4 linked regions of the Oryctolagus cuniculus genome follow. The protein of the gene in region 3 interacts with the protein of the main gene of each other region in a biochemical or structural test. Links are inferred from orthologs where the notes say so. Each region holds a gene or a part of one and is shown on either strand. Other genes may lie near its edges.

The links.
Region 1: the proteins of NUP153 (region 3) and NXF1 form a complex in vitro, tested with the Homo sapiens proteins (2 studies listed by BioGRID and IntAct). The link is inferred for Oryctolagus cuniculus from reciprocal best matches to the Homo sapiens genes NUP153 and NXF1.
Region 2: the proteins of NUP153 (region 3) and KPNB1 form a complex in vitro, tested with the Homo sapiens proteins (4 studies listed by BioGRID and IntAct, with this or other methods). The link is inferred for Oryctolagus cuniculus from reciprocal best matches to the Homo sapiens genes NUP153 and KPNB1.
Region 4: the proteins of NUP153 (region 3) and SENP2 form a complex in vitro, tested with the Homo sapiens proteins (2 studies listed by BioGRID). The link is inferred for Oryctolagus cuniculus from reciprocal best matches to the Homo sapiens genes NUP153 and SENP2.

What each region holds. Positions count from the first base shown.
Region 1 is NC_091432.1:8,792,910-8,800,873, reverse strand, and holds the end of NXF1 (nuclear RNA export factor 1), read right to left. Parts: intron 6,994-7,964; coding exon 6,910-6,993; intron 6,797-6,909; coding exon 6,692-6,796; intron 6,601-6,691; coding exon 6,520-6,600; intron 6,407-6,519; coding exon 6,337-6,406; intron 6,198-6,336; coding exon 6,109-6,197; intron 5,989-6,108; coding exon 5,881-5,988; intron 5,717-5,880; coding exon 5,607-5,716; intron 3,796-5,606; coding exon 3,759-3,795; intron 3,517-3,758; coding exon 3,448-3,516; intron 3,373-3,447; coding exon 3,317-3,372; intron 3,186-3,316; coding exon 3,078-3,185; intron 2,972-3,077; coding exon 2,913-2,971; intron 2,820-2,912; coding exon 2,704-2,819; intron 2,577-2,703; coding exon 2,534-2,576; intron 1,917-2,533; coding exon 1,844-1,916; intron 1,347-1,843; coding exon 1,164-1,346; intron 779-1,163; coding exon 718-778; intron 602-717; coding exon 563-601; 3' UTR 260-562; downstream 1-259. Other genes in the region: TMEM223 (transmembrane protein 223), read right to left, coding at 1-133.
Region 2 is NC_091448.1:23,996,584-24,004,547, reverse strand, and holds part of KPNB1 (importin subunit beta-1), read right to left. Parts: intron 5,765-7,964; coding exon 5,705-5,764; intron 5,130-5,704; coding exon 5,040-5,129; intron 4,698-5,039; coding exon 4,587-4,697; intron 3,897-4,586; coding exon 3,795-3,896; intron 172-3,794; coding exon 1-171.
Region 3 is NC_091436.1:144,855,850-144,862,926, forward strand, and holds the end of NUP153 (nuclear pore complex protein Nup153), read right to left. Parts: intron 4,711-7,077; coding exon 4,542-4,710; intron 3,872-4,541; coding exon 3,787-3,871; 3' UTR 2,725-3,786; downstream 1-2,724. UniProt on the Homo sapiens protein: Component of the nuclear pore complex (NPC), a complex required for the trafficking across the nuclear envelope. Functions as a scaffolding element in the nuclear phase of the NPC essential for normal nucleocytoplasmic transport of proteins and mRNAs.
Region 4 is NC_091435.1:95,244,073-95,252,534, reverse strand, and holds the start of SENP2 (sentrin-specific protease 2), read right to left. Parts: upstream 5,229-8,462; 5' UTR 5,016-5,228; coding exon of another isoform or gene 4,915-5,015; intron 2,844-4,914; 5' UTR 2,709-2,843; coding exon 2,605-2,708; intron 2,004-2,604; coding exon 1,948-2,003; intron 1-1,947. UniProt on the Homo sapiens protein: Protease that catalyzes two essential functions in the SUMO pathway.

The sequences.
Region 1 (7,964 bases), on a different chromosome or scaffold from region 3:
AGAAGCGGCCCCGTTCATGCTGGAAGAGGAGCACGTCCCGCGGTGGGGTCGCACTGTACAGGGACCGATGCAGGAACACAGGCGGCTGCGCACGGAGAAGCCCAAAGACACACCGCGAGCAGGGCGCCGCCATGGTCTGTGCCGGCCCACTTCCGGGGCGGGACTTCCTGCCGTAAGCCCGCCTCCAGCCCTGGAAATTCACAGCCGTGGGAGCCCCCTCTAGGCAGAAGCCAAACAATCCCGCACGCAGGACACAAAATACAACTGTCACTCTTTATCTTAAAAAGTACGGAGGATCCTGGGGTTAAGTACACAAAGCACCTAAGTCCTTCGGGTAGTTTAGTGTCAGTTCTATAAAGTACGCTTTGGCTTCCTGGCACCAGTGAGGCTCAATCTTCCGGAAGTCTTCCAGAAGGCGGGTGAGGAGAGGGATTCAGCAGCCCTCCCTCCTCGGTCACAGTCACAGGGTGGCCTCCGGCCGGACAGGAGGAGACAAAGACGGATGACAACCGGACAGTATCCAGAGGCTATTTACAGGGGGCTTCTGGGACATGACACCGGATCACTTCATGAATGCCACTTCTGGGATCTCACCTTTGGCCTGGAGAAAAATGAAAGGTCAGCAGAGCCAAGGCCATGCCACCCGTGCCCAGCTTACTTGACCACGTTGAAAGGCCAGAGCGTCCTCTTATTTGCCACTGTATTCCCAAACCTTACCTTGAGATGAGTGAAGGCCTGGGCAGATCTGGTGTAGTCCCAGTTGTTGTCCTGAAGGCACCTGGAGTGGAGGAAGAACAGGTGGCTCCATGAGGACCAAAATGCAGTCACCCTGACCACTACCTACCACTTCAGAATCCCTAGTATGGATTGTAACTATAGATTTTCTATACAGCCAGGACCTCCATCGCGATCCCATATGGATGGCAGGGGCCCAAACACTTGGGCCAATCATCTATCTACTGGTTTCCCAGGCACATTTGGAGGTCAGTTTGCAAGCAGGGCAGCTGGGACTCAAACTGGGATTCCGATATGGGATGCAGGCACCACAAGCTGTGTCACAATGCTGGCCTGAGGGCAGATTTTTATAAACCAATAGAGCAATCCTCAATCATTACCAGCCCTACCTCAGTTTACCCCTATTCCTACACTTGCTCAGCACTCACTTCTGAGACCACTCAAGGTTCATGCCAGACTGAGTAGAGAACGCCTGCAACATTTCCTGCTGCTCCGGGGAGAGGGTGGGCACGGGGCTGGAGGAAGGTGTGGGGGCCGGCATGGCGAAGGCTCTCTGGATCTCTTCAGCGCTCGCGTTCCGCACAAATAGCTCGTCATTTACAATACACAGCCTGGGGGACAAGAAACACCTTCAACAGCAGGTCAAAGAACCTCATCTCCAAACATCACTCCTTTTCTCAGCGACCCTACGAAGTCCCCTTCCCACTGTTAGCTGCTGCCTTTTACCATTTGCATAGTTTGTCCTCTGGGCTTTGTGTTTGGAAGGATGTTCTGCCAAACACATTGAACTCATAGTTTCTCATCTGACCACAGACAGCTGTGAGCCCCTGTGTATTTTATCTGTCTTCACAGTAAACTTAGGAAGTGAATATTATTATAATATTTTCAGATGAAGAAACTGGTCCATGGCCAGTAGTAAACTCAAGATGAAAACCCAGACAGTCCGACTCCAGAGCCAAGCCCTTAACCAGGATGGGAGCCACTTCCTGTGATCTGCCACTGCCTTTCAGATTCTGAAAACATCCTGAGGACTGATTCTACCCTCCAATTACCATGCTGCTGGCCATGAACTGGGATTGGTACCCAACCTGGTAAACCGGGAACTTACCCTGAATTGCTGGCAGGAACGGCAATGAATGTCCGAGTAAAGGCTCGCAAAGAATCCCGGGACTTTCCATCCACTGCAAAGAGAGCGGCAACCACCTTTTAGAGGCACTTGTGCTTTATGTTTAGAAATAGCTTCTCAGCTCTCTGTCTTCTATGTTATAAAGAACCCCGCGTGGGCCACACTGGGATAACTATGTCATGTGCAGGGGAGTGTAGGGGGGGCAAAGGGTCAGAGGTCAGAAAGGATAATAATACTAACAACTACTAACCCACTGACAGAGCACTTGTGTATTGTGCCAGGGGTAAAGTACTTTAAAAGTCACTTCATTTACTTCCTATGGCACCATTAAGACCTGGCTGTTACCAACTCCATCTCAGAATACAAAGGAAGATGCTGATGAAGCTCAGAGATAATAACTTGCACACAGATGCACAGAATCAAGATTGAGATGGAAAACCAGACCTTTCTGACTCCAAAGTCTGTGTCCTCCTAATCTATCCCAGGCTTTTCCTATACTGCAGACAAGATAGGTGGAGAAGGCAGGCCCAAGCACAATGGCTTGGTGGCAGAATGGGAGGAGATCAGGAAAGAAAAGGGGACAGAAGGTAGCTGAGAAACTAAGAGTGCTGAAGAAGATTCTGGATGGAGGAGGGACCATGCTATAACCTCAGGACCCCCCCAAATTCTCACCTTCCTTAAAGACACCGTTGACAGAAAAACACAGCAATGTATTCTGAAAAAGAAGCATTAGGGACACTGGAGGCTTCTTGGTAGGACCTGAGCCCCTTTGCCTCTTAAATGCTTCCCTCCACCCTCACCCCCAATTTAAGGCGTCTATCAGGAAAGAAATAGGCACTTACGGTCTGGGCGCTTATGTCTACTACAAAGGAATTGACGTCATGCTGAGTTTTGGGCAACTCATTGAGGAAGGCAACCACGTTGAGACGTGTGTGCTTCAGCAATCGGAACCGCAGTGCTGGAGGTGGAGGAGGAAGGGAGTTGGGGCTGCCAAACCATCCTAAGTGCTCCGATTCCCTCCCATCCTGTTTTGCTCACATCATACACTTACTAGGGTCTTTAAGCTTCTTCACATTTCTGCTATCCTTGAAGTACTCTGCCAAGCTGCTTCTAGTGGAAAAAGAGGCATTGGTCCGAACACTGGTTGCTAGCAGAGCTGGTCCCTTCCTGCTGGGAAACCCTGAAGGCTTGGGCAGGTTCTGGGACGTGAACTCACCGGCCGGGGTTCTGGGGGATGAAAGGAATGCTCAGGGAACAGCAGGCCCCATCATGATAGGCATCCAGGAGCCCCTGTCGGTCTCCAGAGTCATAAATTGCATAATACCTGTGGGAGGAAAAAAAGAAAAAGGGAAACTCTAAGCTCTGCAGCCACAGAGGGACTTAGCAGCTCCCAAGAATGAACCGGGCTTTGGACAGCCAAACCCCTCTGCAGCCTTGGGGCCCTGGGATACTTACTGCTGCAAGAAGTGCAGGACCAGACTCTTCAGGTTTTCTGTTCCAAAATAGCTTCCCTGGAATCAAACAGATATTAGGACCATGGAACCAGTACCCCCACCCCCACATTCTAGCTATGTCCCCGTTCTCACCTTGCAGGGTGGCAACAGTGTTGGGGCTTCAACATCAAAGGCAATTGGTGGGGGTAACTCATGGCCATCCTATGCAGATAAAGTGAAAGGTGAGTATACACCAGAGGAAAAATGGCTACACGCTTACCTAGATGGAAGAGCTACAAATGACAGGCAAGAAGTGTGAAAGAAGTATGAAAAGTGTCCATGAACCCTGACATATGCAACTTTTGCCTAGCAGCATTTCCTGGGAAGCAGGATTATAGCTTTTGTCAGAGGGAGTGGGAGATATTATACTCTTTAGAAGAAAATGAAAACAGCTGTCAACTTACCAGGCGTAACAACTTGGGGAATCGTTCACGAATGGCGCTGTCAAGAATGGGACAGAAGTGAGTGATGCTTCAGGGCCACCGTGCCTCCTGGGCTGCTATAGGAGCAAATACACCAGGGCCCAAGGGTAGCCCATACCATCCTGCTCATCCCCCCACTCCTCCCCAGCCTGTGCTCAGAGAAAAAATGGCCCACACTCCCCACCTGACCCAGGGCTCCCAGACATGGACTGCCTTGAAGGCTGTCACATTTCTCTCTGCCTAACCCCAAGTGCCACAAGAGTAGCACTCTCAGCCCAGGCTTTAAGCCCAGGCCATCCTTCCCCTCCCTGCCCCCCTTACCTTCCACCTACTCACCTGTGCAGCCCAGGGAGAAGGGAATGGGGTGGGAGCCCAGGGGCTCCGCTGCCTCACCAGGTATCCATCAGTTCTGCCAGGTCTGGCCTTGGCCAAGACCAGAGCACACCACAGGATGGCACAGGATGTTGGGGCAGGGAGATGAGCAAGGCGGGGCTCATGGGGAGGGGAGGTAACAGAAAAAGACAGGAAAAGAAGAGGAAGCAAAAAGGGAGAATGGGATGGGACAAGTGAGAGACAGAGGAGGCAATGGGAAGTAGGGAGGAAAAGGCAAGAGAAAGCCAAGAAAAACAAAAGAGCGACAAAGCAAGGAGGCATTTCCATCAAAGAGGATAGGAGAGGAAGACACCTGGATACAGCCTTTTCCTTTAGCTGCCCTTTCCCTGTGGTCCAAGGCAGAAATGGGGAAGAAATCTTTGCTGTGGTGAGCGGGCAGTTGCTATTGGCCAGGTCTCTATCTGCCACCTGGGTCCCGATCTGAGCTGGGTAGGCGTGGGAAGCAAAGCAGCCACGGGGGCAGGAGACAGCCCTCAGAAGGGGTGAGGGTTCATACCCCTGCAAAGTTGGGGGGGTGAGGGTCTGTGCCCCACCTCTGTTGGCCCCCAAGTTCTCTCCTGATGGCCCCTCTGCGACTGTGCCTGTCTTAGGTTGTTCCTTCCCAGAGGAATCTTACCCGTCTCTGGCTAACCAGCCATCCTCCGGGGCCAAGCAGGGTGACGTGAGGTGTGCGAGTGAGAGCGGGGCAGTGCCCCTGACAGGGTCAGTTCTCTGTCTCCTTGGTAGCCTATGCCCCCGTGGCCTCCACGCCCAGCACCTTCCTTGGGATTCCCACGCCTGCTGGCGAGACCACAGCTCTGGTCACATGTCTTGGGGAACCCAGGTTTCTTCTCCAGGGAGGGCCCAGCTCACAGCACCAGGCAGAGAGATTGCAGGGCACCAGCCCCCATGAGGCCTCAACCTCAGCATGTGCCGGAAAGCCCAGGCAACAGCCTTAGGCAACTGGATTATGAGAAAGGGTCCCTCTTGGCACAAAGGCAAGAGGGGCCATCACAGGACAAAGGAAGAGAAAGTTGTCTTAGCAGGAAGTTCCAAGTGGGGAGGGCTTTCTCAGCCCAAGGACACCAGGCTCTAGGCCCAAGGCAACCCCATTTATGGGGCACATAAGAGACATCTCCTAGTCAGAGCACAAAGGGGAAATGTCCTTCCTGGAACAATAGGGTGGGCAAGTTCCAGAAAAGGCTGCGTTCAGGGAGGAAGGAGAAAGGCCAAAGAACCAGCAAACAGGCGGTCAGGTGAAAAGCAAAGGACAGGGGATCTCAGGGCAAGGCTGGGAGACATGGACAGACGAGAGAGGAGCACGTGATCCTCCCAAAGGACAGGTGGTTCCAGCTCAGGGCTGCACATCTCCTGCAGACGGGCACTGGTCAGGGTGCATTAGCTCAGCCTCCCAGGGGGTGAAGGTCCCCAGGAGGGAAGACAGAGGCCACAACTGACCTGATGTAGGTGGACTGGTCTCGGAAGGTGTCACACAAGGGATTTCCATCAAGCCACAGCTCTTCTAGCTTCAGCCCTTTTATCTTGTCTAATTCTCGCTCAGACTTCAACTGCAAAAGATGGGAAAAGAGGGAGGAGAGAACCTGGTGAGACATCAGTTGGACTTCACACCTCCCATCCCGACTCTCATCTCTTGCCTGTCGCCATCACCGGGCAAGCCCACTATGTCCTCTGGCCACCCCATCAAAAGCACAGCCAGCCCGTCAATTCTTACTTCATTCCCGGAGAGGTTTAGGATCTTTAGGTTGGGTGCCTTCTGTACCAAGGTGGACATGTCATCCAGTCTGAACAGCCTATTGTCACTCAAATTCAAGGACAAGAGCTATAAGGGAGAAAAGAGTTTAGTGCTGCTAGTGAGTAGATCAGAGGCAAGTCTGTCGCTGACCCCATGCCATCGATCCCTCGCTGCTTCCCACGCCTGATACTGGTCCAAAGGCCTCACCTCTGGAATATTCTCTTCAATGATTCGCAAGGCAGCTGCCATACAGCTTCTACGATTCAGTACAACATCGATATTCTGGGCCAACAAATCTTCAGGAAGCAGAAAAGAAAGCAAGAAAAATCTGAGAGGACTTGCCCAGGCCAGCGGCAGCACTAATCATTCTTCAACATTCCCTCCCTGACAGAGCCCCCTTACGTGACCTGTCTGAGTTACTGCTGCCAGCCGTACCTGGGTCTGAACGCAGGCCCTTGAGATCCAGTGCTTGCTGAGAGCCGTCATAGCGTTTGCTCATGATCACCTACAGAGGAACCAGGGAAGAGTTCGGCCATCACAGGGACGGTGGGTATGGGGCTGGGGCATGCGAAGTGGGAAGACTGGGCTGCAAGCACACGTAACCTGAGCCAGCCCTACCTTCAGCTGCTCTACTTGTTCTGGCTTCAGTTCACTCTGCACAGTGAGGGGTGGGGTAGAGGAGTTGATGAAGATGGATATCTGGAGGGAGGACAAAGGGCAGAGTAAACGCCAGGGAAAACAGCCCAAGGACCAATCCCCACCTCCAGTCCAACCAAGCTCTTTAACATACCCTCTTGTTCTCCCTATCCAGAATTTTATAGTTGATCGCCTTCAACGCAGAGGCAGTACTGGCATCCTCGACAAAAAACTGAGCCCGTGTGTTCTCATAGTGAAACTGTAAGAAGAGACAAGAGCATTACTTAATCTCAAAGACCAGAACCCCTTGTCCAGATGACCCCTCTGCCCTCCGTGGTGCCCAGCTAGTTGGCCACTCAAGCCCTGCTTTACCTCAATGGGAGTGAATGGGACACTGCACTTGCTCTGAATCATGTTCAGGAGCCATGACTTGTCATACTTTCTGCCATGAGGAATCTAGAAATGAGAAAAGGAGAAAAGATGGAAATTCTATACAACTAAGACTGAACAGCACACCCCATATGGCATTCCTTATGTACTTTCTGCCAAACCTTAAAAGTTTTTTTAGGGGCTGGCACGGTGTAGTGGGTAAAGCCACAGCCTGCAGTGCCAGCATCCCATAAGGGTGCCGGTTCAAGTCCTGGCTGCTCCACTTCCAATTCGGCTCTCTGCTATGACCTGGGAAAGCAGTAGAAGATGGCCCAAGTCCTTGGGCCCCTACAACCACATGGGAGACCCGGAAGAAGCTCCTGGCTCCTAGCTTTAGATAGGCACAACTCCAGCCATTGCGGCCATTTGGAGAGTGAACCAGTGGATGGAAGACCTCTCTCTCTTTCTCTGCTTCTCTGTAAATCTGCCTTTGAATTAAAAAAAAAAAAAAAAAAAAAAAAAAGGCCGGCGCTGCGGCTCACTAGGCTAATCCTCCGCCTAGCGGCGCCGGCACACCGGGTTCTAGTCCCGGTCGGGGTGCCGGATTCTGTCCCGGTTGCCCCTCTTCCAGGCCAGCCCTCTGCTGTGGCCAGGGAGTGCAGCGGAGGATGGCCCAGGTGCTTGGGCCCTGCACCCCATGGGAGACCAGGAAAAGCACCTGGCTCCTGGCTCCTGCCATCGGATCAGCGCGGTGCGCCGGCCGCAGCGCGCCGGCCGCGGCGGCCATTGGAGGGTGAACCAACGGCAAAGGAAGACCTTTCTCTCTGTCTCTCTCTCTCACTGTCCACTCTGCCTGTCCAAAAAAAAAAAAAAAAAAAAAAAAAAAAAAAAAAAAAAGGTGGGGGCGCCGGCACTGTGGCACAGCGTTTAGTTAAAGCCCTGGCCTGAGGCGCCGGCATCCCATAGGGGCACTAGTTCTAGTCCCGGCTGCTCCCACTTCCGATCCAGCTCTCTGCTATGGCCTGGGAAAGCAGTGGAAGACGGCCAAAGTGCTTGAG
Region 2 (7,964 bases), on a different chromosome or scaffold from region 3:
GAAAGCCATCACTGCTGCATCCCGGTATCGCCAATCCGGGTTCTTGATGTGCTCCTTAATGAAGGGAAGGACGTGGGGGACGATGTCATCTTCACAGCAGGTGGCCAGGAGCATGAGGCACACCCCTGCTGCTTTGCAGGGGTTCCAATCATCATCATCATCATTTTCATCCTGGTGAAAGAACGTGGTGCTAAGAATGATTTTAATTCAAAAGGTTCTCTGACCACTCCAACGTAAACTCCAAGGAAGTATACAACACCAAGCCTTTATATTTGATCTCTTCCACAGTGATACATTACAAAATAAGGGGTAGCGCTGTGGTGTAGCAGGTTAAGCTGCATGGGCAGTATCCCACATGAGGGCCAGTTCAATTACCAGTTGCACCACTTCGGATCCAGCTCTCTGCTAATGCACCTGGGAAGGCAGTGGAAGACCACTCAACTGCTTGGATTCCTGCCATCCACGTGGGAGACCCAAATGGAGTCTGGGCACCTAGCTTCAGCCTGACACCGCCCCCTGGCTGGTGTGGTCATGTGGGGAGTGAACCAGCAGATGGAAGATTTCTTTCAAATGCCTTTCAAAAATACTAAATTACAAATCTTCATACAAGATGCAGATGAAAGATTCTACCTAGTACTACACAAAACAACAGAATGAACAAACTTTGGCTGCATACAACAAACATCAGTCTCAAATATGTATATGGATGGGCTTTGTGGTACAAATTTAGCTGCCATTTGGGACATGTATATCCCATTAGTCAAGTGCTGATTCAAGTCCCAGCAACTCCATTTCCAATGTAATTTCTGCTAAGACACTTGGGGAGGCAGCAGATGATGGCCCAAGAACTTGGGCTTCCTGGTTTTAGCCTGGTCCAGCTCCAGCTGTTGAGGGCATTTGGGGAATGAACCAGCAAACAGAAGACTCCTCCCTCTGTCCCTCTCCTTTTCAAATAAACAAAACTTTAGAGCAGGGGGTTGGCACTGTGGCGCAGCAAGTGAAGCTGCAGCCTGTAGTGTCAGCATCCCATATGGATGCCAATTCAAGACCCGGCTGCTCCACTTGTGATTCAGCTCTCTGCCATGACCTGGGGAAGCAGAAGATGGCTCAAGTGCTTGGGCCCCTGCACCCTCGTGGGAGAGCAAGAAGCTCCTGGCTGCTGGCTTTGCATAGGCACAGCTCTGACCATTGCAGAGCTGTGATTGAAACAGCAGATGGAAGATCTCTCTGCCTCTGCCTTTGAAATAAAAAAAAAAAAAAAAAAAAAAAAAAAAAAAAAAAAAAGCCAGACCAAATAAGCGGAAGGTACATGATTTTGGTCCAAAAATCTACCAAAATTAATCTATGGAATTAAAGGTCAAGAAAGCAAGGGGGTTCACAAGTGGGAAGAATATATGAAAACAGCCTCTGAGGTGCTATTAACAGTCACAATTCAATAAATGTGGGGCCGGTACTGTGGTGCAGCAGGGTAATGCCCTAGCCTAAAGCACCAGCATCCCATATGGGCGCTGGTTCGAGACCCAGCTGCGCCACTTCCAATCCAGCTCTCTGCTATGGCCTGGGAAGGCAGCAGAAGATGGCCCAAGTCCTTGGGCCCCTGCACCCACATGGGAGACCAGAAGAAGCTCCTGGCTTCGGGTTGACACAGCTCTGGCCATTGCAACCATCTAGGGAATGAACCAGTGGATGGAAGACCTCTCTCTCTCTCTCTGCCTCTCCTCTCTGTGTAACTCTGACTTTCAAATAAATAAATAAATAAAAACAATTCAATAAATGTTCATAAACAAAAATCACACAAAAAAGGACTGTATTAGAATCCAAAGTCACAGGGGACGGCATTGTGGTGCAACGGGTTAAGCCACCACCACCTGTAACTATGGCAACCCTCTGAGTACTGGTTTGAGTCCCAGCTGCCCCATTGTCCATCAGCCCCTGGTTGAGGCATCTGAGAAAGCAGCAAAAGATATCCTAAGTACTTGGGCCCCTGCCAATCCATGGAAGACCCAGATGGAGTTCCAGGCCTCTGGCTTAAGACTGGCCCAACCCCAGTTGTAGCCATCTGGGAAGTGAACCAGTGGATAGAAGACCTTTCTATCCCTATCTGTCCAACAAAAAAATTATGACCTCAGGTCCAAGTTCCTTATTGCAGCCATTCACAATATGTAGTAATTTAAGGCTGGCTGCCTACACAGTTTCAGAAAACCATATACATAACTTAAGATAAAAAACTAGATCTGTAAGGGGCTGGCGTAGCGGGTAAAGCTGCCACTTGTGACGCTGACATCCCATATAGGTGTCTGATCCAGCTCCCTGCTAGAAAAAGCAATGGAAGACGGCCCAAGTGTTTGGGCCCCTGACACCCACACAGGAGACCCAGATTAAGCTTCTGGCTCCAGCCTGGCCCATTGTGGCCACCTGGGGAGTGAACCAGTAGATACAAGATGTTTGTCTCTCCCCTTCTCTAACACTTTCAAATAAATCTTAAAAAAAAAAAAAAAAGCTACTGCAAAAAATTAAAAATGAGGGGCCAGTATTGTGGTGTAGCAGGTGAAACTGCTGCCTGCAGCGCCGGCATCCCATACGGGTGCTGGTTCATGTTCCAGCGGCTCCACTTCCAATCTAGCTCCCTGCTGCTAATGGCTTGGGAAAGGCAGTGGAGGATGGCTCAAGTGCTTGGGCCCCTGCCACCCATGTGGGAGACCAGGCTGGATCACCCAGCTTTAGTCTGTCCCAACACTGGCCACTGGTTCTGTCTCTCCCTCTCTCTGCAACTCTTTAAAAAACAAACGAAAAAACCCACACAATTGACAGATGAGATGAAAACTTACGGGGGAATACCAAGTCCATTTCAAACCAAACATCTCTCTACTTATCTTTTACACTGCTGTTATATAAAGTCATGTAAATCCCCCAAAACAATTACATTCATTTGTACAAACACATTTTGCAGTGTTCCAAGTTATCAGCAAAAATGTCACGTGTGGAAAAGATGAGGAGACAGGAACTTCTGAAACCAGATGCCAGGTGACACAATACCTCCAGTTAAGAGAAAAATGGCACCATGACAGATGTGTTAACAGTAACTGTTCTTTTCCTAACTACACCCAAATCATTGGGAAATCTTACTGCCATTTATTTTGCCTTGTATTTATATTTATATTTATGTTAATCGTCTTATAGGATCAGTAGAGCAATTTCTTTGACCCCCCCCCATATTAATTCTAATACAGAGTTCCATATGAAAAACTCACACACAACCCTTATCAGCATTTAAAAATATATTCTGTGAAACCCTGAAAGCATCCATCCTAGATATTCAAAGTTTTTTTTTGGTGCACAAGTGGTGAAGTTTATTTAGAAGGTGGGAAAGTAAATACACACCCACGTGGGCATAGTTCAGGAGCAGATAGAGCCAGGAAGGGAAAATAATGGGGGAGGGAAGTAGACAAGACAGTGCCTCGGCGCCGTGTCGTCCTCTTGGGGGAGAGAGACAGAGGAACAGATATTCCAGTAGCCTGGAACAAACAGCTCTTCTCTGTCAGTCCGGACAGTTTAGCATTCATGCAATCACAGCAGTGTGTGGCTCATTCCTGATGGAGACCCATCAGGGACATTTAGACCCAGATCTCCACATACTCTGCTCAGGGCCCCAGGGATCTCACAGATCCAGCTCAGCTGTTCTTGAGTTACCTACACAGATGGGCGGTCCAGGCCTGTCATGGAAACTGTTCCCCACCAACCCAACCTGAATCAAGTTTTGTAGCACATCTGGTTCGATTTGGCCAAGAACTCACCTGTTTAGTCAGTGTCTGTGTCAGGATCGGGACGAGATATTGTAGTGCTCCCTTGGCATAAAATTTGCTGGTATGCTCAGGGGGCCGTCCTTGCTCTGCTGCCTAAGGAGAAACAGAAAGCCAACAAGCTAAGATAGCAAGGGCTATAACTATAACGAGAGGTGCCTAGGGGTCTGTAAGAGAAACACACGGTAAGGAGCGATCACAGACCTTCACTGTGATCTCTGGAGGTGCTCAGCATTTGAGTCTCCTCCAATGAGATTCTTGTAGGTCACACATATACATATATCTGCCTTAAAGGACCAAGGCCACTTTAAGAATTACATTACTCTTCCATAAGCTCGATTCCTATTAACAACCTGACATCTAAGTGCTCTCTGGATCAAGAGATAGAAAAATGCTAAAAATAAGTCTGGATTTTTTTTGAAGCAAATAAAGATAAGCAAGGCTGGAAACAAAGTCTGAATTCAAAGTTACCTCTTTCCCCTTATCTGGTTCCCTCACCAGTTACATCCTGGACTTGCATTAGGACCTTGGAAAGAAGTGAGCGTTAGGCATCACCTGGGAAAACCGTGACAGCCTGCTGCCCCCTAGTGTTCATGGTGCTCCTACCAGTACTTTCAGTAAGTCACGCCCTACTGAGGGTCAAAAACTATTCTTGGTCTCCATAAAGAGGGCCTTTCCGCAGCAGAAAAACCCTGCAAGTGGTGCCCCCCCCAAGTCTACCCGGAATAACGCTTCCCCGGGAGAAAGAATGATGTTCACAGGCCGGAGTAACAGCTCCCCGCTCACCTCTGAAGCCTCAATGGCCAAATCCATTTCCTCATCACAGACGTTGGACCAGAATTCTATTCCTTGTAGGGCCACTTCATCAATGTCACTTTTCATTGCTTCAATTGTGATCTTAAGCAAAAAAAAAAAAAAAAAAAAAAAAGAAAACCCAAGCCCCAAGTAAGTACTGATTCAAGTTAGAATCCCCTCTTCAACTACATTCCAGTTTCAACTATAACTTATGAAAGTTAGGTCTGAAATGAAAGGTAAACAGGTTTTTTAAGTACACTGTTTACCAACATGAAGATAGCCCACATTTCCTGGGCACACCGCTGTTGGGCATAAACTTAACTCTCAGATTCCCCCGATTTCCTAACAGTAAGTAGAAGATTACAGAATGAACCAAACGGCAATGAGAATGATGGGCTCTGCAATCAGCTATAAATGCAAATCACATAAAATCAAAATACTTACTGCAAAAAGAGCAGGACCCATGTATGTCTCCATGTACTGGTAATACAGTGACATTATCTTAACCAGATTCTGTAAAGCAGCCACGCGTACCTTTAAAGAGATTAAATGGTTTACTAAAATAATAATGACACAAATGTAGATTCACTCAACTGAGTCAGTGATCTGAAGGTTCATGGAAGCACACATGACAGTGCTGTCTGTCACTGCTCCCCAAAGCTATCTGCCCTCCATTTTTCATGATCCCTCCCTCCAGTTTTCTAGTCCTTCCCTTTGCTTTAAAAGCACCTGTGCAACACACACAGAGCTAAACTCACTGGTGCTTACTCGAACTGAATGTGTCACTTTCACCTGCTTAGGAGTCGCACTTAGATTAGGGCAACAGCTAAACCTGTTTCAATGGCTATATTTGAACAATCACTCGGACAACCTAGGGCAAGAAAGTAAACCTTTAAGAGGACAGCAACCTCCAAATAACTTTTGAGGTAGTATACGACTACTTTTATTCCTTCTTCTCCAATATGTTGGAGAAAAATTGTTAGTAATCTAGTTAGTATTAAGCAAACCTTATTTCTTTAGTCTGACTCCTAGTATCTCAAACTGTATGTGAGAGTTGGCATTTCATAGGGAAGACTTAAAACAGATTTTTTGTAGGATCTCACACTTACCCTCGTATCTGGACACTGTGTGGCTTCACAGACCACCTGCATAATAAAGTGCCTTTCGGACTGCAAGAATAATAAAAATAATCAGGGAAGCAAAAACTATGCACAGGAAAATTCCTAGGCTCTACAGATAAAACTTCTCATCTCCTTGGGTCCACACAGCCTGGCATCATCAGCAACTCCTACTTGAACAGTGGTGGCCTGGAGAAGGCCATGAAGTTCACCTCCAGGGTCTGCTAGAACCTGCCCTTAAGAAGTCCCAAATCTTTGAATCCACAAACTGAGTTTCACTAACTAGAGTTCAGGAAGTAGACAGGAAAACGTAGGTCACAAAAAGATGTTAAGAGGATGCAAAACATCTGCTTTATTTTAGAGACCCCCAAATGTGTTTTTCTGCAAGATGGCTAAGCTCCATCCAATGTCAGGAGAAAAGGGAGAACAGAGTGAAGAACCTCATTTGTTACCTTTCTACATCTGAAATTTAAAAGGAAAGCCCTGTTTTTTAATCAATTAGAAATAAAGGTTGCTCTGTCATCTTATACCTTTCCAACACAAGGCCAAAAACCAGCAAAAACAAGCATACCCCCAAAATTACCTGCAGACCCTGTGAGCCATGAAGTCTACTCATGGATACACCGCCAAAAGAATGAGAGTAGGTCTCAAAAGAAATCTGCCACCATGTTAAAAACCTCATTATTGGAGCTGGCACTGTGGCACAGTAGACTAAGCCTCCACTTCCATATGGATGCTGGTTAATGTCCCAGCTGTCCAATGCAGCTCGCTCTGCCTATGGCCTGGGAAAGCAGTGGAAGATGGCCCCAAGTGCTTGGGCCTCTGTAACTGTGTGGGAGACTCAGAAGAAGCTCCTAACTCCTGGCTTTGGATTGGCCCATCTCCGGCCTTTGCAGCCGTTTGGGGACTGAACCAGTGGATGGAAGATAGCTGTCTCTCTGTTAACTCTTGCCTCTCAAATAAAAAATAAAATAAAAAACATTATTCACAATAGCCAAAATGTGGAAGCAACCCAAATGGATGATTTTAAACAAAATGTGGTATATCTGTATATCTTTGGGCCCCTGCCATCCCACGTGAGACCCAGATGAGTTCCTGAACATGAGTCAGCCTTACAACATGAATGAGCCTCCAGCATCATGGTATGTGGAATAAACCAGCTACAGAAGACAAACACTGTGTGATCCCGCTTTTATGAAGTATGAGAGCAAACACAGAGAAACGCTGGTGGCCAGAGGCTGGGAAAGGAGCTGGTACTCAATGATCCACTTTCAGTTCCACAAGATGACAAAGTTCTGCCGACTGGTTCCACAGCAAGGTGAAGATAATTAGATACTGCAAAATGGTTAGGGGGGCAAATTCTGCTATACAGACTTTACCACATTATAAACAGGGGAAGTATTTTCAGGCAAAACATTTATTTTATTTTATTTTTAAAGATTTATTTATTTATTTAAAAGGAAGAGTTACAGAGAGGCAGAGGCAAAGGCAGAGAGAGAGGTCTTCCATCTGCTGGTTCACTCCCAAAACGGCCACTATGGCTGGAGCTATACCAATCTGAAGCCAGGAGCCAGGAGTTTCCTTTAGGTCTCCCATGTGGTGCAGGGGCCAAAGGACTTAGGCCATCTTCTTCTGCTTTCCCAGGCCAAGCAGAGAGCTGGATTGGGAAGTGGAGCAGCTGGGACTCGAACCAGTGCCTGTTTGGGATGCCGGCACTGCAGGTGGTGGCTTTACCCAATCCACCACAGCGCCGGCCCAAGGCAAAACATTTATATCCCTTACTGCAGCACCAGTTTGAGTCCTGGCTACTCCACCTCTAATCCAGCTCCCTGCTGATGTGCCTGAAAGACAGCACATAGCAGCCAAAATACTCAGGGCCCTGCTACCCAAATGGGAGCCCCAGATGGAACGTGGGCTCCTGTCTTCAGCCTGGCCCAGTCCCAGCTGCTACGGCCATTTGGGGAGTGAACTAGCAGATCAAAGATCATCTGTTTCTCCCTTTCTCTGTCACTATGCCTTTCAAACACATAATTCTTTTAAAATAGCGTATACTATTTTAAAATAGCGTTCTCAAAAGCATCCTCCGGAAGGATATATGAAACAGTGCAATTGCTGTAGTCTTCTTTTTAATCCCAAATTATTCTCACACTTGAACTAAGCTAAGAAACACTTGAATAACATTATTTATAAGAGCCTGACGAAAAATGGCAAACACCTATTCCATGGCTGCATCCCATACAATCCAAATCTC
Region 3 (7,077 bases):
TCCAGGCCAGCTCTCTGCTGTGGCCAGGGAGTGCAGTGGAGGATGGCCCAAGTACTTGGGCCCTGCACCCCATGGGAGACCAGGAGGAAGCACCTGGCTCCTGGCTTCGGATCAGCGCAGTGCGCTGGCCATAGCAGCTGTTTGGGGGGTGAACCAACGGAAGGAAGACCTTTCTGTCTAACTCTGCCTGTCAGAAAAAAAGAAAAAGAAAGAAAGAAAAAAAAGTATCAAAATCTGAATAGGGTCCTAAAAACTTGGGAAGCCCTTTTTTTTTTTTTTTTTGCAAAGGCAAAGGCAGATTCAGGTCTCCCATGTGGGTGACAGGAACCCAGTTACTTTAGCCATTACTGTTGTTTTCCAGGGTTTGCAGGAAGCTGGAGTCAGAGGCAGAAATCAACCCAGGTACTCAATGTGGGACACAGACATCTTAATCATTAATTAAGCTAAACACACCCCCAAGACTTCATCTTTATCAAAAGCCAGCTTAAGTACAGCTTTCAAGAATTTGTTTAAAAAAGGAAAAAGTATACATTTCTAGAGAAAGTAACACATTTCTAGAGAAAAGTAGAAAGCCCAATGTTCCAACCTCTTGGGCCTACAGAATGGCTAAGAACTGAACTGCAAGGTAATTGGGCATTAACTTATTTGTTATTAGAAAGGCAGTTACAGAGAGGGTGTGTGTATGTGTAGGAGGAAGGGAGAGAGAGAAAAAGGAAGGGAGGGGGCGGAGGAGAGAGTGATGGTGGTGGGGAGGAGAGAGAGAATCTCCATCTGTGGATTCACTCCTCAAATGGCTACAATGGCTGGGCCAGGCTAGTCAGGAGGCTAAAACTCCATCAGTCTCCCATATGGGTACAGGAGCCCAAACATCTGGACCATTTTCCACTGCTTTTCATGGTGCATTAGCATGGAGTTGGATCAGAATTGAAGCAGCAGGGTCTCACACTGGTGCCCATAAGGGATGCTGGCATTGCAAGCTAAGGCTTAACATACTACACAACGCCAGACCCAGGCAGTAACTTCTGAGCAAAGACAGATTCCCAGTTACACCTTTTCCAGCACTCACCACTATTCGTCCTCCCCTTCCAAACAGCTAAGTATCAAACATATAGCACACTCGCCTCCTGTATCAGTGAGTCATGGCTACTCCAAGCCTCCTATCCAGCTTCCTGCTAAAATACCTGGAAGGCAACAGATGATGTTCCTGCCACTGACATGGGAGAACTTGGAGTTCCTAGCTCCTGCCTAGCCTAGCTCTGACTGTTGAAGGCATTTAGGGGAGCAAACCAGTGGATGGAAGATCTCTCTTAGTGCGAAGACAGGAGCCAGCAATTCTACCTGCCTCCCATGGGGGTGGCAGGAGCCCAAGCACCTGGGCCGTCACCTACTGCCCGCCAGGTGCTTTAACAGGAAGTGAAGGAGCTGAGACGTGGTGATGATCCCGGGCGTTCCTTTATAGGACGCAGGCATCCAAGTGACGGTTTAACACACTGCACCACAACACCAGCCCCAAATATGTAGCATTAACCAAGTCAAAATACAGAATTTCCAAACCCAAACTAGCACCAGAGGATGGCCTAAGATATTTTAGATCAGAAAAACATCTTTTCATTGGAAACAAAAAAACAGCCCAAGTGTTATATTTAAGAGGCAGAGAAAGACAAACATTCACTGCCTTGACCTAGGCTTCCTACATGGGTGTCCGCAATGGACACAATTTCTGGAGGCATTCCACACTGCCTCTCAGGGCCCTTGGAATCAGGAAGCTGGGGTCAGGAGGTTTAAGTGGGTACTGAACCAAGGTACTCCAATATGGGCAGTCTTAAATGCAAGGCTAGTTACTCTTAAGATTTATTTATTTGAAAGGCAGAGTTAGAGAGAGGTGGAGAGAAACAGAAAAAAAAAGATCTTTCATCTGCTGGTTCATTCCCCAAATGGCCACAACAGCCAGGCTGAAGTCGGGAGCCTGGAACTCCATCAGTCTCCCAAATGGGTACAGGGGGGCCCAAGCCCCCGGGCCATCCTCCGCTACTTTTCCAGATTCATTAGCAGGGAGCTGGAATGGAAGTGGAGTAGCTGGGACTTGAACTGGCACTCCTATGGGATGCTGGTGACAAGCAGCAGCTTCACCTGCTGCGCCACACAATGGTGGCCCCCAAGGCTTCAGAAATTCATTTCCAAATTTCAACTCCAGCCAACCAAAGTCCAGCAATTAAAAGCATGCACCAAATAATAATTATACATTCAAGGGAAATAAAACTATCAAATACTGTTCCAAGAGCTCTATGGTGAGCCACAGTGGGGGGGGGGGGGGGGGATGGATGTAAAAAAAAAAATAACAGTAATCCAAAAGAAATTATACAAAAAGAACACCACGGTATCTGTGAACTGTTTTAGGTATCCAAAAGAATTCAATCAATAATCAGTCTTGTCCCTATCAAGGAAAACGCAAGTACAGACAAATGGTTGTGGTATTTATTTCCAACTTTTTAAAAAAAGGTATGTAAATCTACGTGGAAAATTAGGTATGATTCCTAGCACCAGGAAATAAGCAGTGTGCCTCCTATATGCTGCAAACTCAAATATTTTCTCCTCCTCCTAGATGTTGTCTAGAACACTTAAAATGTGTTCTTTGGAGTATCTGACCACTGTTAATCTGCAGAGAAAAGTCCCTGACCATTAATACTGTGAACCTTCATTTTGAGTTAAAACTAAAACAAAAAGTGCTTCGTAATTTTTTTATTGATGGCATTTATCCCATGGTTTAACATGTTAATTATACTGTAATAAACATGGCTTTAATATTAAACTTTTCCTTATTATCCAAAGTCACCACAGTCCATTTCAGTAAATATAAAAATATATGCTTAATACTTTGTACAATACTGGTTTTTGGTCCAAATAAAACTGGATCAGAAAAGCCAATAAATTCAACTTTAAGAATCCCCAATTTTTTTTTAAAGATTTCCAAATGGATTTAGGCAACTTTGAATAATGGGATTTACATAATAAAATCTGAGACAAGACTAAACAACAACGAAAAAAATTCTAACACAAAATTAAAATTTCAAGTTCACAGACTTTATGTTATGCCAAAACAGTACAGAAACAAAATTGTATTTACACAAGTTTCATAATAAAATAATGAAAAAGGCAAGACAGGCGATAGTTAGAGGAATGAAAATAGAGAAGTAGCATATAATTATTAAATGTAGGATGAGTGAGATCTAACAAGTCCTCAGCATGGACCACTCTTTTTAATCAGGCTTCCTCTATCAGAAAATTTTAGTGCACGATACACCCGACGCACTCACTTCACACACATCAGCACAAACTCGGCATAGAAATCATTCATTTCAACATCCTCTAATCTACACAGAATCCTAATCTATACAGAATTCCTCAGATATAGTTACAATTTCAATGTGTTCCATAAACGCTTATTAATGCACATGGCGGTGCACACGAAGAGGTTCTATACAAAGCCATTCACCGTGCAGGCTCTATTCCTGGGTACAGCCAGACTACGCCAAATCAGTGAATAATTTGCTGGATCATAAAATATTTTTGCTGAAGAATCAGTCACCAGTCTAGGTATTATTTTTTTATAAGGAAGTGGCAGAGGCAGGGGTAGGGCTTCCATAAAGAAAAGGAGGAAAATTCCAAAATTTAAGAAGTCCTTAGGCAAATCTTAGTTCAGATAACCCCAGCACACAGTATAATCCAGTATCTGAAAGCAGGACACCAGCTGTTGCCAAACTGTTGCACGTAATACCATCGTGACCTTTATTTCTTTCGTCTAACAGCAGTCTTTATCTTGCGACCAGAAACTGAAGTTCCAGAAGACGAGAACATGCTTTTCCCATTTGACCTTTGAAAAAAAAACCTCACGTGACACAATGACCAAAGCAAAATTCCAGAATCATTTAACATGATCACCAATAAGGGGGAAAAATAAGACTTATGTTGTTAAAGAAACACATTTTCTACTATTATACCTAAGCAAACCCATTATTGTTAACTTCTCAGGCTTTATGACCCCTCAAATTACAGTGTGATAAACTGATGTGGGAGAACACATTTCACTGCACCTTGATGACTTTTAACAGCAAAACATACATCAGGCCGGCGCCGTGGCTCAATAGGCTAATCCTCCACCTTGCGGCGCCGGCACACCGGGTTCTAGTCCCAGTCGGGGCGCCGGATTCTGTCCCGGTTGCCCCTCTTCCAGGCCAGCTCTCTGCTATGGCCAGGAAGTGCAGTGGAGGATGGCCCAGGTGCTTGGGCCCTGCACCCCATGGGAGACCAGGAAAAAGCACCTGGCTCCTGGCTCCTGCCATCGGATCAGCGCGGTGCGCCGGCTGCAGCGGCGGCCATTGGAGGGTGAACCAACGGCAAAGGAAGACCTTTCTCTCTCTGTCTCTCTCTCTCACTGTCCACTCTGCCTGTCAAAAATTTAAAAAAAAAAAAAAAAAAAAAAAAACATCACATACCTAAAATAATCAATGTAAATTTCCCATTTCACCAAAACGTTCTCTTACCCCACTGTAAATGTAGCTTGAGACGGGTTAAAGGGAAAGCTCCCGGAGCCTGACGGCTGGGTGGAGGCTGCAGGTGTGCTAAAATTTGCACCAAATGTGAAAACTCCTGCTGGATTATTGCTTGTGAAGTTGAAATTTGCCGTGCTGCTGCCAAATTGGAAAACCGAATCTATAATAAAAGCAAAAAGCACTTCATTAAGGCAAAAATGACAGCTTTTTCAGTAACAACTCTGACCTCAACATACAAAAACATGTAAAAGTGTTAAGATTTCTTACCATTACTTTCTAAAGAAAAATGAAGTATTTTCTCTGCTTACCCAAGTACATACTTGACACCTCCAAGTGATGGTACAACTTACCCCTGACCAAGGAAAAAGGGCAGAGTGGACTTCTAGTTAGAGGGAGCAGGACCAACAAACACATTTAGCTCTATCTTCTTTGAAAAGTGGATTAAAAGGAATTTCTTTTTTTTAAACAAGGATGAGGGGAGAGGAGACAACAGCAACATTAGTTTAGAAGCTGACTGAAGCTGAGTACTAAACCAGCAGCAGAGAAAGCACAGAGCAGTTTCGTGTCCACTACACACACCCCAGAAATTTATGTTCCAGGTACCTCTGAAGGGAAAATGAAGATGGGACTTCAAAATAAAAAAAAATAAAAGCCGGCGCCGCGGCTCACTAGGCTAATCCTCCGCCTAGCGGCGCCAGCACACCGGGTTCTAGTCCCAGTCGGGGCGCCGGATTCTGTCCCGGTTGCCCCTCTTCCAGGCCAGCCCTCTGCTGTGGCCAGGGAGTGCAGTGGAGGATGGCCCAGGTGCTTGGGCCCTGCACCCCATGGGAGATCAGGAAAAGCACCTGGCTCCTGGCTCCTGCCATCGGATCAGCGCAGTGCGCCAGCCGCAGCGTGCCGGCCGCGGCGGCCATTGGAGGGTGAACCAACGGCAAAGGAGGACCTTTCTCTCTGTCTCTCTCTCTCTCACTGTCCACTCTGTCAAAATAAATAAATAAATAAATAAATAAATAAGAAAAGGCAGTCGAATAGCTGTTTAAGAAGCAGATACCCAGATCAATCCCTCCCAAATCCTCTTCTATACCTCAGTCAAAAAGGTTTAATCTTTGGAAATGTCTTTGGGCTGGGGGGACACCATGTACAGGTAAGGGCAAGAACATTATACTGAAAAAAAAAATTTTTTTTTAAAGATTTACTTATTTATTTGAAAGTTACACAGAGAGAGGAGGAGAGGCAGAGGCAGAGGGAAGGGGGGGGGGATGGGAGGGGGTCTTCCATCTTCTGGTTCACTCCCCAGTTAGCCGCAACAGCAGGAGCTGTGCCGATTTGAAGCCATGAACCAGGAGATTCTTCCGGGTCTCCCACGTGGGTGCAGGGGCCCAAGGGCTTGGGCCAGCTTCTACTGCTTTCCTAGGCCACAGCAGAGAGCTGGATTGGAAGCGGAGCAGCTGGGACTCGAACCGGCACCCATATGGGATGGTGGCACCGCTACACCACAGCGCCGGCCCCAAAAATGAGGTTTTAAGAGTAGGCTGATACAATGAATACCAAGAATGCCAGTCATCCTCCCAACTCAGCTTCCAGAAACACCAGTAACCAGGAGTTCTCGGATACCCTCCACACAGGAGCCTGGAAGCCTCTTCTCTGGGTCCTCTGACAGTCTAAGGGGAAATACCTAAAGATACTAACATCCAGCTTTTCCCAAATAAAAGATAGTGTAAAGGTGAAGTTCAAAATTGCTAAGCCTTATCAACACACAAAGGCTTTTGTTATTCAGGTCCTATTGTCCTGAGGAGCACCACATATTTGAGGACAATACTTAATAAAAAAACACTGAAACCAAAACAATGAGGGAGAAAAATAATTCGCAGCAAACTAAGCAAGGAATCACAACTTTAAGGAAAAAGAAAAAACAAGTGGGCACAGTAGCATAGTTGGTTAAGTTGCTACTTAGGACACAACTTCCCATAGCTGCATGCCAGTTTGAGTCCTGGCTACTCTGTCTCTGATCCAAATTCCTGCCAATGCACCTGGGAAAGCAGGAGATGATGGCCCAAGTACTTGAGTCCCTGTTACCCACATACAAGACCCAAATGGAGTTTGGGGCTTCTGGCTTCAGCCTGGCCTAACCTGGATGTGTACTCACTCTCTCCCCCTCTCTCTGTCATTACCTTTTTTTTTTTTTTAAAAGATTTTATTTATTTATTTGAAAGAGTTACACAGAGAGAGGAGAGGTAGAGAGAGAAGGTCTTCCATCCATTGGTTCACTCCCCAATTGGCCACAACGGCTGGAGCTGCGCCGATCAGAAGCCAGAAACTTCTTCTGGGTCTCCCGCATGGGTGCAGGGGCCCGATGACTTGGGCCATACTGCTGTCCCAGGCCATAGTAGAGAGCTGGATCGGAAGTGGAGCAGCCGGGTCTCGAACCAGCACCCATATGGGATGCCAGCACTTCAGGCCAGGGCGTTAACCCACTGGGCCACAGCGCCGGTCTCCCTCTGTCATTACCTTTCAAAAAAAAATAAAA
Region 4 (8,462 bases), on a different chromosome or scaffold from region 3:
TTATTTCCTGTAGAACCTAACACATTACTTAACATTAATGCATACTTAGCAATTATCACTGGACTTAAGTATTAACACAGACATGTGCACTCAACTACCACATTTGGAGGTCGACTCAAATTCAGAAATCATTTCTTTTTTTTTTTTTTTTTTTTTTTTTTTGACAGGCAGAGTGGACAGTGAGAGAGAGAGACAGAGAGAGAAAGGTCTTCCTTTGCCGTTGGTTCACCCTCCAATGGCCGCCGCTGCAGCCGGCGCACCGCGCTGATCCTGGCAGGAGCCAGGAGCCAGGTGCTTTTTCCTGGTCTCCCATGGGGTGCAGGGCCCAAGCACCTGGGCCATCCTCCACTGCACTCCCTGGCCATAGCAGAGAGCTGGCCTGGAAGAGGGGCAACCGGGACAGAATCCGGCGCCCCAACCGGGACTAGAACCCGGTGTGCCGGCGCCGCAAGGTGGAGGATTAGCCTATTGAGCCACGGCGCCGGCTAGAAATCATTTCTGAGAAAGAGGAATGTCTTGTTAAGGTATTCCAAGGCACCTTTACCTCTGATCTATTTTTATTCTCTTCTAGCCTTTCAGTTATATGGAGGTAAATGATTAGTAACAACAAATTGGATCAGTTTACTCAGTCATCTGTACTAGATCAATCAGTTTGTAGGAGTTTTTACAATGTTTCTTCTTCAAAAATAAATAGTATCTTTTCTGTACAGAAGGATTTAGAATTTCTAAATGACACATTGGTTAAACTTTCTGAAATGATATTCATGTCCCTGGTAATAGCGGTTACCTCTAGAAAAGATAATTAAAAGGGCCAGCCTGGGGTAGTCACTGTGGCATGTGTCCCACATGGACACTGGTTCTAGTCTCACCTGCTCCTCTTCCAATCCATCTCCTTGCTGATGGCCTTGGAAAGCAGTAGATGATGGCCAAGGTGCTTGGGCTCTGACACCCATGTGGAAGACCCAGAAGAAGCTCTGGACTCCTGACCTTAGATAGGCTCAGCTCCAGCCATTGTGGCCATTTGGGGAATGAACCAGGGAATGGAAGACCTTTCTCTCTCTCTTTCCTTCTCTCTGTAACTCTGCCTTGCAAATAAATAAATAAATCTTAAAAGGGGGGGGGGGGGGCCGGGGCGCAAGACTATGGCATAGAGGGTAAAGCTGCCACCTGCAGTGCCAGCATCCCATATGGGCACCAGTTCAAGTCCCAGCTGCTCTACTTCCAATCCAGCTCTCTTCTATGGCCTGGGAAAACAGAATAGGTCCAAGTCCTTGGGCCCTTGCCCCTGTGTGGGTGAATTGAAAGAAGTTCGTGCCGGCGCCACGGCTCAATAGGCTAATCCTCCGCCTTGCGGCACTGGCACACCGGGTTCTAGTCCCGGTCAGGGCGCTGGATTCTGTCCCGGTTGCTCCTCTTGCAGTCCAGCTCTCTGCTGTGGCCAGGGAGTGCAGTGGAGGATGGCCCAAGTGCTTGGGCCCTGCACCCGCATGGGAGACCAGGAGAAGCACCTGGCTCCCGGCTTCAGATAAGCGCAGTGCGCCGGCCGCAGCGCGCCAGCCGCAGCGGCCATTGGAGGGTGAACCAACAGTAAAGGAAGACCTTTCTCTCTGTCTCTGTCTCTCACTGTCCACTCTGCCTGTCAAAAATAAAAAAAAAATTTAAAAAAAAAGAAAGTTGTGACTCCTGGTTTTGAATTGGCCCATCTCTGGCTGTTGCTACCATTTGGGGAATGAACCAGTAGATGGAAGACCTCTCTCCATCTTTGCCTCTGCCTCTCTATACCTCTGCCTTTCAAATAAATAAATAAAAATCTTAACAACAAAAAGATAATTAAATAGGAAAGGAAAAGGAAAGAGACTTTTCACTGCTTATACATAATTTTCACATTTTGAATTTTATTCCAAGCATTTTTCCTTTCAAAAATTAATTTTTTTAAATTTTCAGTACCTAATCTTGGTCTTTTGGCTGGTATTTCATCAGTGTCCACTGTAGAAAACAGAGTGCTGAAAAGAGAAAAGAAAAATAGCATATACTGGTATATATGAATAAACGCATAAACGCACACATATCCATTTCTGTAGATAAATCTAGTATTCATATAACATACCTCTCTTCTACCCACTTTGTCATAAAATAAGATCCAATTAACATTTTAAAAGAGAATGTTGGGGCCGGCACTGTGGCATGGCGGGTTAAAGCCCCAGCCTGCAGCGCCAGCATCCCATATGGGCGCTGGTTCAAGTCCTGGCTGCTCCTCTTCTAATCCAGCTCTCTGCTATGGCCTGGGAAAGCAGTGGAAGATGACCCAAGTCCTTGGGCCCCTGCACCCATGTGGGAGACCCAGAAGAGGCTCCTGGCTCCTGGCTTTGGATCGGGTCAGCTCTGGTCATTGTGGTCATTTGAGGAGTGAACCAGTGGAATGGGAGACCTCTCTCTCTGGCTCTACCTCTCTCTGTAACGCTTTCAAATAAAATACTTCTTTAAAAAATGTGGAGAATGTGGTAGAGCCAGTGTTGTGGCACTGTGGGTTAAGCCAGCATCCCATATGTGCACTAGTTTCAGTCCCCGCTATTCTACTTTTGATTCAGGTCCCTGATAACGCACCTGGGAAAGAAGTGGAAGATGACCCAACTGCTTGGGCCCCGCGACCCACATGGGAGACCCAGATGGAGTTCCAGGCTCCTGGCTTCAGCAGGGTTTGAGGCCATTTGGGGAGTAAACCAGTGGATGGAAGATAGCTATCGCTATCGCTCTCTTTCTTTCTCTCTCTCTCTCTCTCTCCATCTTCCTCTCCATTTCCTTCTCCCTCTGGGTAACTCTGCTTTTCAGATACAAAAACAAACCTTTAAAATAAAAAGAGAATGCTATTCTATAGTTCTTCAGCATTTGAAGAATTATGGTTTCAACTATCTGAGAAAGAACCCAATTCTCTACCATGTAATAATCTGTAGGCTAAAGTACAAACTTGAAAGTGGGCAGAAGTCACTTAGCTAGTAGATGAACCTGGAAGGCCTAGGCCTATTATTCTCTTTTCCTGTACAGAAATAATTTAAAAACAAGTAAATAAGTTCCCTTTGAAAGACAACCCCAAAGAAAGTTCTGTTTTACTTCAAGTGACACATATGCAGTCTTAAGACTGTTCTTAGCTAGCAAAAGATAATACATTTAACTACATTTAACTACATTTCTATCATGGGAAACTACATCACAATAAAGACTTTGGAATCAGGAAGGTTTCTAAACCAACAAGTCAAGAATATTAGTATCTTGGTATACTAGTAATCATCTTTCTGAATCCTTATGATTAATCATATTTTTATAAACTAATAGATGGGGTTGGTACTATGACATACTGGGCTAAGCCTCCGTCTGCAGTGCCAAGTATCCCACATAGCCTGCTCCTCTTCCGATCCAGCTCTCTGCTATGACCCAGGAAAGCAGTGGAAGATGGCCCAAGTGCTTGAGCCCCTGCACTCGCATCGGAGACCCAGAAGGAGCTCCTGGCTCCTGGCTTTGGATCAGCATAGCTCCAGCCATTGCGACCATTTGGGAAGTGAACCAGAGGATGGAAGACCTCTCTCTGTCTTTCCCTCTCTCTGTAGCTCTGCCTCTCCAAAAATAAATAAATCTTTAAAAAATTTAACAGAATGAGATCCAAGGAAAATAACATTCTGCCATTAAACATCTCAAGACCTGACTGAAAATTGGCTTATGTTGAGAAGAGCAGTTTTAGATAAAGGATGTGAATCCCTAAAGAGCAGTAAAGAACTCCCAGTCATCAGCAGAAATTCACATCAAAAAGAAAGAACAAGCGTGAGTAAATTAACATTAAGTATGCACCAAATGTTTATCCTGCACCTGATTCTGAACAAAGCCCTTAGGGTAGAATAAACTACTTCTATACATATTAAGCATCAATTTAGGCACTTTACAACATGTTCTCAAATTATCCTCACATTAACCCTACAGAAAGCTCAAAAAGAGGAGTAAATTGAAACCACGTCTCTCTGGAGTATATGCGATCAAACTTATTGATGACTACATTCTCAGACTCATGTATTAACCATCTTGTTCTCTCAAGCTCCCAGAAACCAATCTTTTCCCTACTTTTCCTTGACCTTGACCAGCTTAATAAAAAAAAAAAAAAAAAAAAAAAAACTCAAATTTACACTTGAGAGCTGAAAAGGTGGGCGGTGTACAGAATTTGTGTGGTACTTTATTTTCTAGATTCTTATGGAAGGTGGGACCCTATGAGACAAGCCAAGGAGATACTAAGTCGGAAGAGTTTTTAGTTTCTCCCAAATTTTAGGAATGGACCAGTGAACTTTAACAAGGAGCTGGCACCTAATTTTTTTTTTCTAATATACTAATTCTAAAGCACAGAAGCAACCCCCCCCCTCACCCCAGGGGGCCCCGCACACACACTGTTTGACAGCTGTTTCAGAACAAGACAGCTGCTGTTTGTGGTGCTAAAAGAACAGTACTCGCAGTCAAAAGGGCTTTGGGTAAGCTATGAATCTCACTTCCCTTAACTGACAGCTGGGAGTGTGCTTCGTAGACAGAGCCGCAGCACAGACAGCACTCCTTCAATTTTTATTTTTCAGCCTAAGAGCAGCAAAACGTGCCAAATCCCATGTGTTGCCAGCCACCAGCTTGGACTCTGACAAGAATATTAAAGAGCCCACCATCACCCTCCAACTCCAAAAACAAACAGCCCCTTCGTTCATCACGAGCTGCGCCTCCACACACCAGCCTGATGGGCGCGACTACGTCATCAGGATACCCGCGCCCCGCACTTCTCCGACCCACTTAAGCAGAGCAGGGCCCGCCCGGCTGGGTCAGCGCAGTGCCCGCCGAGGAGCCTGATGTGGGGGAGGGGCACGGCCAAGCCAGCGCTCAGCCCACTCTGCTCACCTGTTCGAGCGCCGCCTCTTCAGAAGGGCCCGGGAGGGGGGCGCTGACCGGTCGCAGAAACGGAAAATGGTGCCGAGAATCCTAACCAGCCATCTGTACATACCAGGCCTGAGCAGCAGCGGCGGCCGACACACCCCGAGACGCAAACCCCAGAGCTGTCGCCGCCGCTGCCGCCTTCCCCGACTCGGCCACCACCGCCAAGACCTAGTCGCTGACTTGTGACGTGACAACAAGGCCCACAGATAAAACGTCCACACAGCTAGGGGAGGCGCCCGCCCGCCACAGCGCCTGACGTCACCTCCTCCCGCCCGACCGGAAAGCTTCCTCCTCGATATGCGCAAGCGCAACCTAGTACCGCCCCCTACCAGCGATCCTGGCAACCAGAAACGGCAGAACGATCTCCGGGCCAATCACTGACGAGGGAGCGGGGGCGGGGGCGGGGCTTCCTCTGTACGGAACCAGTCCCGATTCGGCCCGTGAGACAAGGCCCACAAGCCACACGTGAGAGCCATACCCCGGAGCCATCCGAGGTCCTAGAGCGCTGTTAGTGCTCAATAAGTTTTTGAGTATACAGGATAAAGGTAGGTCAGGCTAATTAACAAAAGACTACCGGCTCAGTCGCCCTTTATCTGACATATTCCCCCTACTTTTGAATGTGTTATACCTCCTTCAGGTTTCTCAGCGACCCTAGGCAATAGGGCGTCTTTTCGCCCGTTTTTCAAATAAAGGAAATGGAAATCACAAAACTGACTAGCGGTATAGCTGAAGTTTGAACCAAGGTATAAATACCAGCGTCAGTCCCTCGGCCTTGAGATCCCTCCCTCTACCGGGAGAAACTAGATTACAATACGGAATGACTGGTTGCTGTGATAAAGGATAGTGCAAAGTGCAGGGGACCCAGAAAAAGGAAAACTATGCGCTGAGGCAGGGTAAAGAGCAGACTCCTAAAGAAGGCTTCGCAGAGGTGAGGATGAAGACACCTGTGGCCTGCAATACACTTGTTTGCTCCCCTGGCCTGGCACAGTGAGTCTCATTACTTCCTTCTAAAATCTAGAGGTCGCAACTCTGGTTAATTATCAACTGTAGAACAAGTCTCATCCTGATTAGTGATAAAAAAGAAAAAAAAAAATCCGGTTACCTCCCTGAAACAATCCTGGGAGCTCTCATGCTACACAAATCCCAGAACCCCACTTGTTTTTTTACCTGCAATTCAGTTCAGGCTGGAGTCCCAGACTTTCCTGAACTTGCAAGAAACTCACTAAGGGATTCTCCAAACAAAAGAGCAGTTTCCCTTCCAAATTAATCAGAAAACTGCTCGTTTCTTTGGAATAGCAACCTATTCTGATCTGGTCACCAAGACTTGAGAAATAATTGAGATCAAGTCTCCTAGACCACAGTGCAAACCAAACTGTTTGCTTTTTTTTTCCTGCCTCATTCATTGTACAGGCACAAATTCAATACTAAAAGTTCGTAAGAGCCATGAAACGTGAGAAAGCTTCAATATTACAGACTTCAGCCATTATCACAAGTCCTTAGCAAACGATATCTCCAGAAATGAGTGGGGCAACGCACACCAACGTGCTGCCCGCCCTCACATTCCCCAACCTCCCTATCTCCTGCCACGGCCTGCAAGTCCTCTTAGTTACCCTCTGCAATGAAGAAATGGAGACTCATCCTTATAGTTGCTCCCACCTGGGACTTTTCTGCCAGTTGGTGCCTTCACTGTCCGGTGGTCCACAGTAGGGGCATGGGCCTCTGCCCATCCACTGGCCAAGGAGAGGGATTACCCTTAATCGCAACTTCACCCCCACGGCAGCCATTCCCGGATCCAGGAGCTCTTCGCCGAAGGGCCAGGAGATAATCCCAAGGCCTCGTGGAGTTACGAGGATGTAGAGATTTGCGCCTTCGGCTGGGAAAACTTGCAACCTAGTACTGCAGGAAGGGCACAACTTCATTGCTTAAGCTTGTACGGGCTATTCCAGATACATGCCGCAGTTTCCCAAAAAGATTCCCGCACTCCCCCAGCCAGGAGCTGCTGCTTCAAGCTTTTCCAGGGCCCCACCCCCCTCTTCCTCCACAAAACAATGAAGACCCAGCCCACCAACCCATTCTTTGGTCTTGCAAATTTTCCCTTTCGCAGCATTCCCAGAATGTTTAAAAAGAAAAAAAAGGATTTAAAAAAACTCAAGTTTGTTTTTGCCGATCCCTGCCAGAACAGAGTTCTGAGCCATTTCACGCAGGACTAGGGATCCATAGAGGAGGTTTTGTTGGTTTAGGCCTAATGTGCCTAAAATCCAGCATAATTAACCACACTGAAGGTTAATTTCCTTCTAGGAACCAACTTTCATCTTGCTGAATCTGTCTAGTAATAACACTGGCCTTGTCATGTCAAAAGCCAGGTGCACTCCTTTCTTGTCCTGGATTTCATTACAAAACTCATACACATTGACTATAAATGGCTTGGGCTGCCTTTTGTGGAAAAATAGCATCAAGCCCCGCCTCGGCTTTTTTCCCAACCTATAAAGTGGGATTAGTAAAACCTGCATCTCAGATCTGTGGGCTGAGTAATTAATTGTGTTTATGTGAAGGGCCTAGGCAGTGTCCAGCACAGCTAAAGTAAGTGCTTCATGGCTCACTTTTTTCCTTCCTTCTCCTACAGTCCTTTAACTTGTCTGGTCTGTGCTTTCCAGTTTTTATAGGCAGGCTGCTTTCTCTACAGATCTATCAGAACTACTGTCCTTTAGGGCATGATCATTCCTCTCACCACTGCAACAGCCACCCCCCTTTCCCTCTTCCATGCTAGTTCCAGCCTGATCCCTCTTGTCCTTTGTTGTAATTGAAGAAGATAAATTGATAGTGCAATTCTTATTTACTAATAAAGATAAATCTGCAACTTAAGCTTCATTTTCTATTAGAGAAAAAAATGGTCAGATTTTCAACAAATTCAGGTATGTTTGGGATGAACTGACTTAAAATATAGGCCATGTGGCAACCCTAAAATTAACTCTGGTTGGCCGTAGGGAGAACCTAAAAAAAAAGAGAGAGAGAGAGACATGCATGTCCCTGAACAGCTAAAACTGAGAAGCAGCCAGAAGAGAGGGAGAGAAGAGTGGGAGAGAAATACCCCATTGAGTCAGACAGGGTGAACCTCTCGAGTGGTTCTGGAGGGTTCCAAATGGAGCCCAAGTCATAAGTCACAAGGATCAACCTCGTGCATTACAGGATTTTTCCATAAGTTGCTTCCTCCAGGGAATAATTGTCTAATTAAGGTTCTGGATTCTCATGAACAAGGCTTGGGAAACCAGCTCAGCAAAAAGAAAAAGATGCCAGTGTCACAGGTGGTAGCTGTATTCACTATACCACGGTGCTCCAACCATATTTATTTATTTATTTTTTAACAGGCAGAGTGGACAGTGAGAGACAGAGAGAAAGGTCTTCCTTTGCCATTGGTTCACCATCCAATGGCCGCCATGGCATGCTGAACCGAAGCCAGGAGCCAGGTGCTTCTCCTGGTCTCCCATGGGGTGCAGGGCCCAAGGACTTGGGCC